Macaca fascicularis: one gene and its partner. Each later gene encodes a partner of the first gene's protein in a complex. Links are inferred from orthologs where the notes say so. Each region holds a gene or a part of one and is shown in the gene's direction. Other genes may lie near its edges.

Region 1 (3,610 bases):
TTTTTTGCCAAGATGAACAGATAGAAGTTTGTTGTTTCAGGTGACATCAGCATACCAGGTTTCCACTGCTTCCCATGGAAATTCCAAATAAGCTCCTTTCTGAAAAGTGGCAATTGAAGTAGAAATGAATCTTCAGTAGTAGGAATGGAAATAAGAGCCCCACCCTTTTAAGAACGCATTTGCAGTGCCTGCTTTTCTATCCACGAACCTTCTTTTCTCACTCTGAGTCCTTCAGGCTGCCGATGCAGACTGATAGCATGACAGTTACATCTCAAATTGAGTACCTTCTATGCCATTGCTCAGCCTCAGCTGGTGCCAAAGACATCAGCAATTTAAGTGGTAAAAACGGATTTTATTCAGTAACTGCTGACAGTAGGGGAAAGAGCTGAGCCCAATTCCAATTCACACAGAGGTGATTTGGGCATTTTAAAGGGAGAATGAGGGAGGTGGAGTGTAAGGGCTCAGTAGAGTCAGAGAAGTGAAAAAATGTTTGGTCAGTATCAACATGTTTAGGCCAGCTGTGCTACCAAGCAGGCAGTTAAGTTAGAATTCTATCTTCCACAGAGACTGGGAGACAAGAGGCCTTATCCCTCTTGATGATTATATTTTGAAGGGATGGCTCTCAGGTCTTTGAGAGAGATGCTTCTGAATTACAAGAGCTGCATACTTACAACTGTGAGCCTTTTTAGTAAATGTCCTAAGAAAGGGGAGTCATGGGCCTATCATCAGGTGTGTGCTAGCTACAGCAAATAGTAAATTCTCCTGGCAGCACTGAGCTTTCTCAGGCAGGACTATCAATGGCTGAGATCATCCTAGGGAAGCCACGCTGTGCTGCTAGAAGCTGTGCTTGAGTTTGGGCGAGTGTCAGTGCAGGGGTTCCAATGGGCTTGTCATGTGCCAAGCAGGAGTTCTGAAGTTCTCACTGGCACTGTTTATCTTGAGTTTCTCTTCCAACCCAGAATCTCTTTTTTTTTTCTCTCCCGTATGTCAGATATTTCTATTGGCTGCATTTAAACTTCTATTTAAATTCTGATCTTGGACAGGTCCCTTTACCTCTCTCTAAGCTTCAATTTGCTCACTTCCAAAACTAACACCTATCTCAAAGGTATTTTTTGCGGTTGAGAGAAAATACATAGATGAAGTCCCTGGCAGGTAGAGGTACCTCAATCAATGATTATTGCTGTCATTGAAATCAAGGCAAACCTCCTTGTAACAAGGCTGCAGGGTCTCCTTTAGGATTTCTCATGCACAACCTGTTTCTTGTGGCTTAGGTTCAGGCAGAGGTGAAGAAGATGTGGAGTCGGTGGAATCTCTCTGTGGACTGGAAAAGGACCCCGCCATGTGGCAGCCGCAGATGCGGCTCAGTGCTCACCACCGTGACGCACAGCACCAGCAGCCAGTCACAGGTGGCGGCCAGCACACGCATGGTGCTTATCTCCGGCAAAGCTGCCAAGATTGCCAGCAGACAGCCTGACAGCCACATCACCTTACCCGGCTACGTCTGGAGTAACTCAGAGCTGGACTGCCTGCCACACTCTTTCCATGAGGAGACCAAGGAAGGTAGTGGGAGGCAGGGAGATGATCTTCTAATGGAGAAGTCTTCCAGGCCTATGGAATTTAACCCAGACACTAAAGGATGCCAAGGGGAAACTGAGGATGTTCTCTGAATGGACATTTGTGGCTAACTTTCATGGGCTGGTCCAATGGCTTGGCTGATATTCCTATGCTTGAACTCAAAGGCTGAAAATTCAGAGTTAAGGTGTAACTTAAAGTTTTAGGCTCCATGAATCGGCTCCTGTAAATACGAAAGACATGAAAAGGCAAGTGTCAACGGAGTAGTTTATTACCTTCTCTTGGCATCAAGTTTTCCACTAAATTAATGTATGGTATTTTCTCTGTGATTGTTCATGTTTTTTCTGCTACTTTTGGGTAGAAAAAAGTTTCAATTGCTTGGTGGTAGCTTTCTCTCGTATATATCACCCTAAATATAATGAAGATCATTTAGTGTGTATCAGTTTCCTTTTAGGAACTAGTATTCTCTTATTTCTTACTTTAATGTACTTCTATCATTGCATTTATTTTGCCTGTGCATAGGGGCAATTAGGATCTAAAAAAATATGTGGGAAGATAAAAGTTCTAAGAACAAGTACTTGCTGGAAAATTAGTTGGCTGGACATTGATAAAATAATGCATTTATAACAATTACACATGTTTCTAGGAACAAGGAAAATTTCTCAAAAAAGAATATTTCACACATCCCTTCTTTTGAATGTCCTCTTTGTGACCAGCCAGACCTCAGGTCTTCACTCTTTCTTCTTTGTAAACCATGTCCTATAGAAAGGTTTCCTCAGTTATTGAGCTTCTGTCTGCAATTGATTTTGTTTGTAATTTATTTTGATAGCAAATCACACTGCATCTATATCTTTTTCTTGTCTGAGCTATTACTACATTGTACATGGCATGTGGGAGCAATTAAAAATTTGTTTTAAAAATACATTTTGGATCACTTTTTAAAATTTTTCTTTCAATATCTCACTTTATTTTTGAGAAACAACCAAACTTCCCTTCTTTAAATGTACACATATCAACATTTAGCTTTTGTACTTTATTCAACTTGAAATTTCAGTATGTTGCAGTTTTGAAAACTTTTATTGAGGGCATGTTATGTATCGGCAGGCATGCTGCTAGGTTCTTACAAGCATTCATTTATTTAATTCTCACTATAATTTATGCAGTAAGTCTTATTACTGTCGCCTCTTTTACAGATGACAGTGTGACTTGTAGGGGTGGAGTTAACTTGCCCAAAGTCGCCCAGCTGGTCATTGACAGCTCTATTGACTTTAAGTCCCATGTTCTTAATCATTATGTTGTATTGTCACTAGTATATATGTAGTCTATTAACCCATCAAAAATTCAATAAGGCCGGGCGCGATGGCGCACGCCTGTAATCCCAGCACTTTGGGAGGCCAAGGTGGGCGTATCATGAGGTCAGGAGATCAAGACCATCCTGGCCAATACAGTGAAATCCCGTCTCTACTAAAAATACAAAAAATTGGCCAGGTGTGGCGGCACAAGCCTGTAGTCCCAGCTACTTGGGAGACTGAGGCAGGAGAATCACTTGAACCCAGGAGGTGGAGGTTACAGTAAGCTGAGATTGTGCCACTGCACTCCAGCCTGGGCAACAGAGCAAGACTCCGTCTCAAAAAAAAAAAAAAATCAATGAATTCTTAATAGAGAGTACTTGGGAGTCTTGCACTGTAGTATGTTTTAGCCTCTGATCCTCATAAAATTTCCACTCTAGTGGAGAAGACGTACACCTAGGAAATAAAAAAAAAATCACAGAACAATATGTTTCCAGATAAAATGACATGGATCCAGCTGATCTATGTCATTTTGCTGAATGACTTAACCAATAGGCAAGTAGTGTCATGATGAATAAAGTTCTCCAATATCAACAAACCGTCTTGAAAAATATTACACCTCCCTTCCATGCTTTTTCTTCCCTTCCTCTCCTGTGCCATAGCAGAGGCCATTTCCATACTTCCTGTTCAGGAAGGTACCACTGTGCATATGTAATTCACCTGATTCAATTCTATTGTTAGTTCCCCGG
Region 2 (3,851 bases), on another chromosome or scaffold:
CATTGCTGGGGCTAGTATGGGCAGAGAAGCATAGGTCTGTGGTCAGGTGGAGGTGGAGGCAGCCTACACATCGATTGGACAGGCTTACTTGAGGTCCTGGGGTCTCTTACCTGCTCTGGTGTCCAAGATAACAGCAGATGAGCAGAGCTGGATGCAGAGAACAGTGAATGTTACAGAATGGCTCTGGGCAGGGCGGTGAGAGGTAGGGTCTCAGGGGCACACAGGTGATGCAACTGAACCCCTCCCAGGGGATCCTGGGAGCCTAGCGACAGACTTAGACTCTTAAAGGGACAGAAGTAAAGGACATTGTCTCTGGAGTGGGGAAGGGAGTTAGAAACTGGAATGATCTACTGGAGATGTGGCCCAGTCAAACTATCTTTTTGAAACCAGTGGTCCTGGTCCTCTACCCTCTCCTACCTGGAAACCCAGGGGTCTAGTTCTCTGGTACCTTCCTATTTCAAGTCCCCTAAGTTGTACCCCACAGCTCCCTCCCCCTAGACTCAGAACTCCAGTCCTCTACCTCCTTCCTTCCTCAGATCCAGGAATCCAAGTCCCTAGCCTCATCCTCTCCCAGAACATAGGAATCTGGGTCCCTGTCCCATCCACTCTTAGACTCAGGAGCCCAAGCTTCTGCTACCACCTTCCTAGGAAACTAGGAGCCCAAGTTCCCACAACCCAAATTGCTACTGCTCTGTAGGACTTCCAAGTTTTGCCCATCTTCTCCTCACTTGCTCCTCTTTTTAAAATTATTATTTTTTGAGGCAGAGTCTCTCTCTGTTGCCCAGGTTGGAGTGCAGTGGTGCAATCTCAGCTCACTGCAACCTCCAACTCCCGGGTTCAAGCGATTTTCCTGCCTCAGCCTCCCAAGTAGCTGGGATTACACCACACCTAATTTATGTATTTTTGTAGAGAAGGAGTTTCGCCACGTTGGCCAGGCTGGTCTTGAACTCCTGATCTCAAGTGATCCACCCACCTCGGCCTTCCAAAGTGCTGGGATTACAGGTGTGAGCCACTGCACCCGGCTGAGGCCCCTCTTAAGAGTCAGCGTGGGCTGGGCGCGCTGGCTTATGCCTGTAATCCCAACACTCTGGGAGGCCAAGGCGGGCGGATCACGAGGTCAGGAGCTCAAGACCAGCCTGGCCAACAGTTTGGCGAAACCCCCGTCTCTACTAAAAATACAAAAATTAGTCACAAGTGATGGTGGACACCTGTAATCCCAGCTACTAGGGAGGCTGAGGCAGAATGGCTTGAACCTGGGAGGTGGAGGTTGCAGTTAGCCGACATGGTGCCATTGCACTCCAGCCTGGGCAACAAGAGCAAGACTCCGTCTCAAACAAACAAACACAAAAAAAGAGTCAGTGTGAGGAGGACTGGGCTTTAATCTTAACAGCACCCCCAAACTCCTCCCAGATAAGGATTTAGACACATCCTCAGGGCAGCTCAGGAGCCCTATCTGTTTTCCCCTCTTCACTCTCTCTCTGAGGCTTTTCTGATGTTGTCTGTTACTTTTCCTGTCCTCACACCCCTGCCACACGTACCCTTTGCCATTTCTTGCCTTTTCCCCCCTCACCATCTCACCCTCGGTCTTTCTGGGCCTCTCCCTGCTGGATTTATCTCTGGGCAGCTCCGTCCAGGCCAGGATGTCCTTCCATTGCCGTCTGTCTTTCTGAGAGCCTTTTCTTTCTCTCCTCCATCTCCGTCTGACTGTTCGTTTCCATCTCCTTTGCTCTCTTTTCTTGTTTTCTTCCTTTTCCTTTCTTTTTCCGTCGTTCCCTTTCTTTCTATTTCTTCCTCGGCCACTCTGTCTTTGTCCTTCTCTTTGTGTCTCTGTTCCTCTGACGGTCCTTCCGCCAGTCTCTATTTTTAGCCCTCCGACACACCCCCTGTGTCCACCTCTCTGTCTGTCTGTCTCTCCCCCTCCCTCGTCTCAGGTCCAGCTTCTGGTCCCAATTAGTTGGTGGCGGCCAAGGCAGCGGCAGGTCCCCCACCCCCGGCTCCTCATTACCGCTGGCGGCTCCTAATGAGCCTGGGGAGGGGGTGACCCCGCGCCCCCGGCCCCCCGGCCTGCGTCACTGCCCGGTGCGGGGGCTGCGGAGGCGATATAAGGGGGCTGCCAGCATCGCTGCCCGAGACCACTGCGCGGTAGGGGACCGTGCGGGAAGCTGGGGGTGGGTGCATGGTAGGGCCGGGGTTTCTGGGCCGGGATGCAGCCCCACTGAGCCCCTTTCTGGTTCACAGGTGATGGAGACCCGCCAGGTGTCCAGGAGCCCTCGGGTTCGGCTGCTGCTGCTGCTGTTGCTAGTGGTGCCCTGGGGCGTCCGCACTGCCTCGGGAGTCGCCCTGCCCCCGGTCGGGGTCCTCAGGTAGGTGCCAGGGCCAGAACTCCCAGGGAGGGGTGGGGACCTGGAGAAGTGGGAAGAGAACCAAAGAGAAAGGGGACAGAAGACCCAGAAAGAGGGACAGAAGCCCAAAGAGAGGGCGACCGAGACCCAGCGAGAAGACGGAGACTAGGGGTGGTGGAAGGCGGGAGGAGGGTTTGGTGGTGGTGGTGGTGCGGGAACGGACAGAGAATCAGCAAGGGAAAGACACACAGAAAGATAGATGCCGAGAAAGGCATGGAGAAGGCTGGAAAGGAGCCGATGCAGAAATGGATTCGTTCTTTGAGCAACGTTTAGTGGGTTCTTGGTGTGCGCCTGGCCATGTGCTGAGCGCTGTGGGCGGACAAGTGCATCAGACTCGGTCTCAGTACCTGGGGAGTTTCGAACCTGGTGAGCAGAGAGACAGAGACCCACACAGAGAACGAGACAGAGGGAGCCGGACCGACCCACTCCACCGACGGGGCAGTAATAGGGCTTCAAGTTAGACCGCGGGGAGGACAGGCGGCGGCGAGCGCGGATCTGGACGCGCGGTCACCGAGTCTCTCCACAGCCTCCGCCCCCCAGGACCGGCCTGGGCGGATCCCGCCACCCCCCGGCCGCGGAGGAGCCTGGCGCTGGCGGACGACGCGGCCTTCCGGGAGCGCGCGCGGTTGCTGGCCGCCCTCGAGCGCCGCCACTGGCTGAACTCGTACATGCACAAGCTGTTGGTGTTGGACGCGCGCTGAGCGCGCCGCCTGTCCCCATCTTAATAAAGACCCTGCCGTGCGCTCCGGACTGCGCCTCGTTCCTGTGCGACCTGCGTGTGCGTCGGGTTGGGGGCGCAGGGCTGGAAAGGTTGGGGTAGAAAAGAGACAGAACTCTGCGTCGGCCACTCTGGCATCTCTCCCTTCAGTTCCCACTCTATTTTCTTTCCTCAATTCCGTTTCTCTGCCTCTGTCTTTGTCCAGGAAGCTAGCTTCTTGCCTATTTCTGGATCTCTGCTTCCCTACCGCCCCCCACCTCCGCTCTGTCCCCTCCTTTCATTCTGGGTCCCTGTCCCTCCCTACCCCCGTCTCTGTCCCCTTCTCTGTTTCTCTGTAATCTCCAAGGTCTCTGTCCTCCTCTGTCTCTGCCCCCTTCTCTGGGTCTCTTTCCTCTCTGGGTCTCTTTCCTCTCTGGGTATGTGTCCCCGTCTCCCTGAGTCCTTGCGGGTATCTCCCCTTTTACCCTCTTGGCTTTCTGGTCTTCTGAGAATCTCTGCCTCCTCTCTCTATTCTCCTTCTGCCTCTGAAACTCTTCCTTTCCTTCTCCCTCACTTTCTTTTTTCCTTTTTCCTCTGCCTGACTCCTTCATATCTTCCTTTTTTTCCTCCGTTAGGTTTCTATCTGTCTCTCCACCAGCTCTCACCTTTGCATTTCGCTGTTCCTCCCTCCCATCACTTCCAGACTTCTCCCCAGGCACAGTGGAAAGATCGTGGGCCCTGGTGTGAGGCAG

The links.
Region 2: the proteins of PTH2R (region 1) and PTH2 are in contact, whole or in part, in a cryo-EM structure (PDB 7F16), measured with the Homo sapiens proteins. The link is inferred for Macaca fascicularis from reciprocal best matches to the Homo sapiens genes PTH2R and PTH2. Residues at the interface, in NP_005039.1 of Homo sapiens: Thr31, Ile32, Ile34, Gln37, Ile38, Asp68, Gly69, Leu70, Ile90, Tyr91, Asp92, Phe93, Met112, Lys117, Ala120, Tyr122, Leu126, Gln130, Pro131, Ser134, Lys137, Gln138, Phe141, Glu142, Tyr152, Arg190, Ile194, Lys197, Val201, Ile205; in NP_848544.1 of Homo sapiens: Ser62, Leu63, Ala64, Leu65, Ala66, Asp67, Asp68, Ala69, Ala70, Phe71, Arg72, Glu73, Arg74, Ala75, Arg76, Leu77, Ala79, Ala80, Leu81, Glu82, Arg83, Arg84, Trp86, Leu87, Tyr90, Met91, Lys93, Leu94, Leu95.

Annotation. Positions count from the first base shown.
Region 1 is NC_088386.1:104,433,187-104,436,796, forward strand, and holds the end of PTH2R (parathyroid hormone 2 receptor), read left to right. Parts: intron 1-1,271; coding exon 1,272-1,667; 3' UTR 1,668-2,492; downstream 2,493-3,610. UniProt on the Homo sapiens protein: This is a specific receptor for parathyroid hormone. The activity of this receptor is mediated by G proteins which activate adenylyl cyclase. PTH2R may be responsible for PTH effects in a number of physiological systems.
Region 2 is NC_088393.1:57,371,017-57,374,867, reverse strand, and holds PTH2 (tuberoinfundibular peptide of 39 residues), read left to right. Parts: upstream 1-1,952; 5' UTR 1,953-2,142; exon of another isoform or gene 2,143-2,238; 5' UTR 2,239-2,241; coding exon 2,242-2,363; exon of another isoform or gene 2,364-2,928; coding exon 2,929-3,103; 3' UTR 3,104-3,144; downstream 3,145-3,851. UniProt on the Homo sapiens protein: Plays a role as a potent and selective agonist of PTH2R resulting in adenyl cyclase activation and intracellular calcium levels elevation. Induces protein kinase C beta activation, recruitment of beta-arrestin and PTH2R internalization.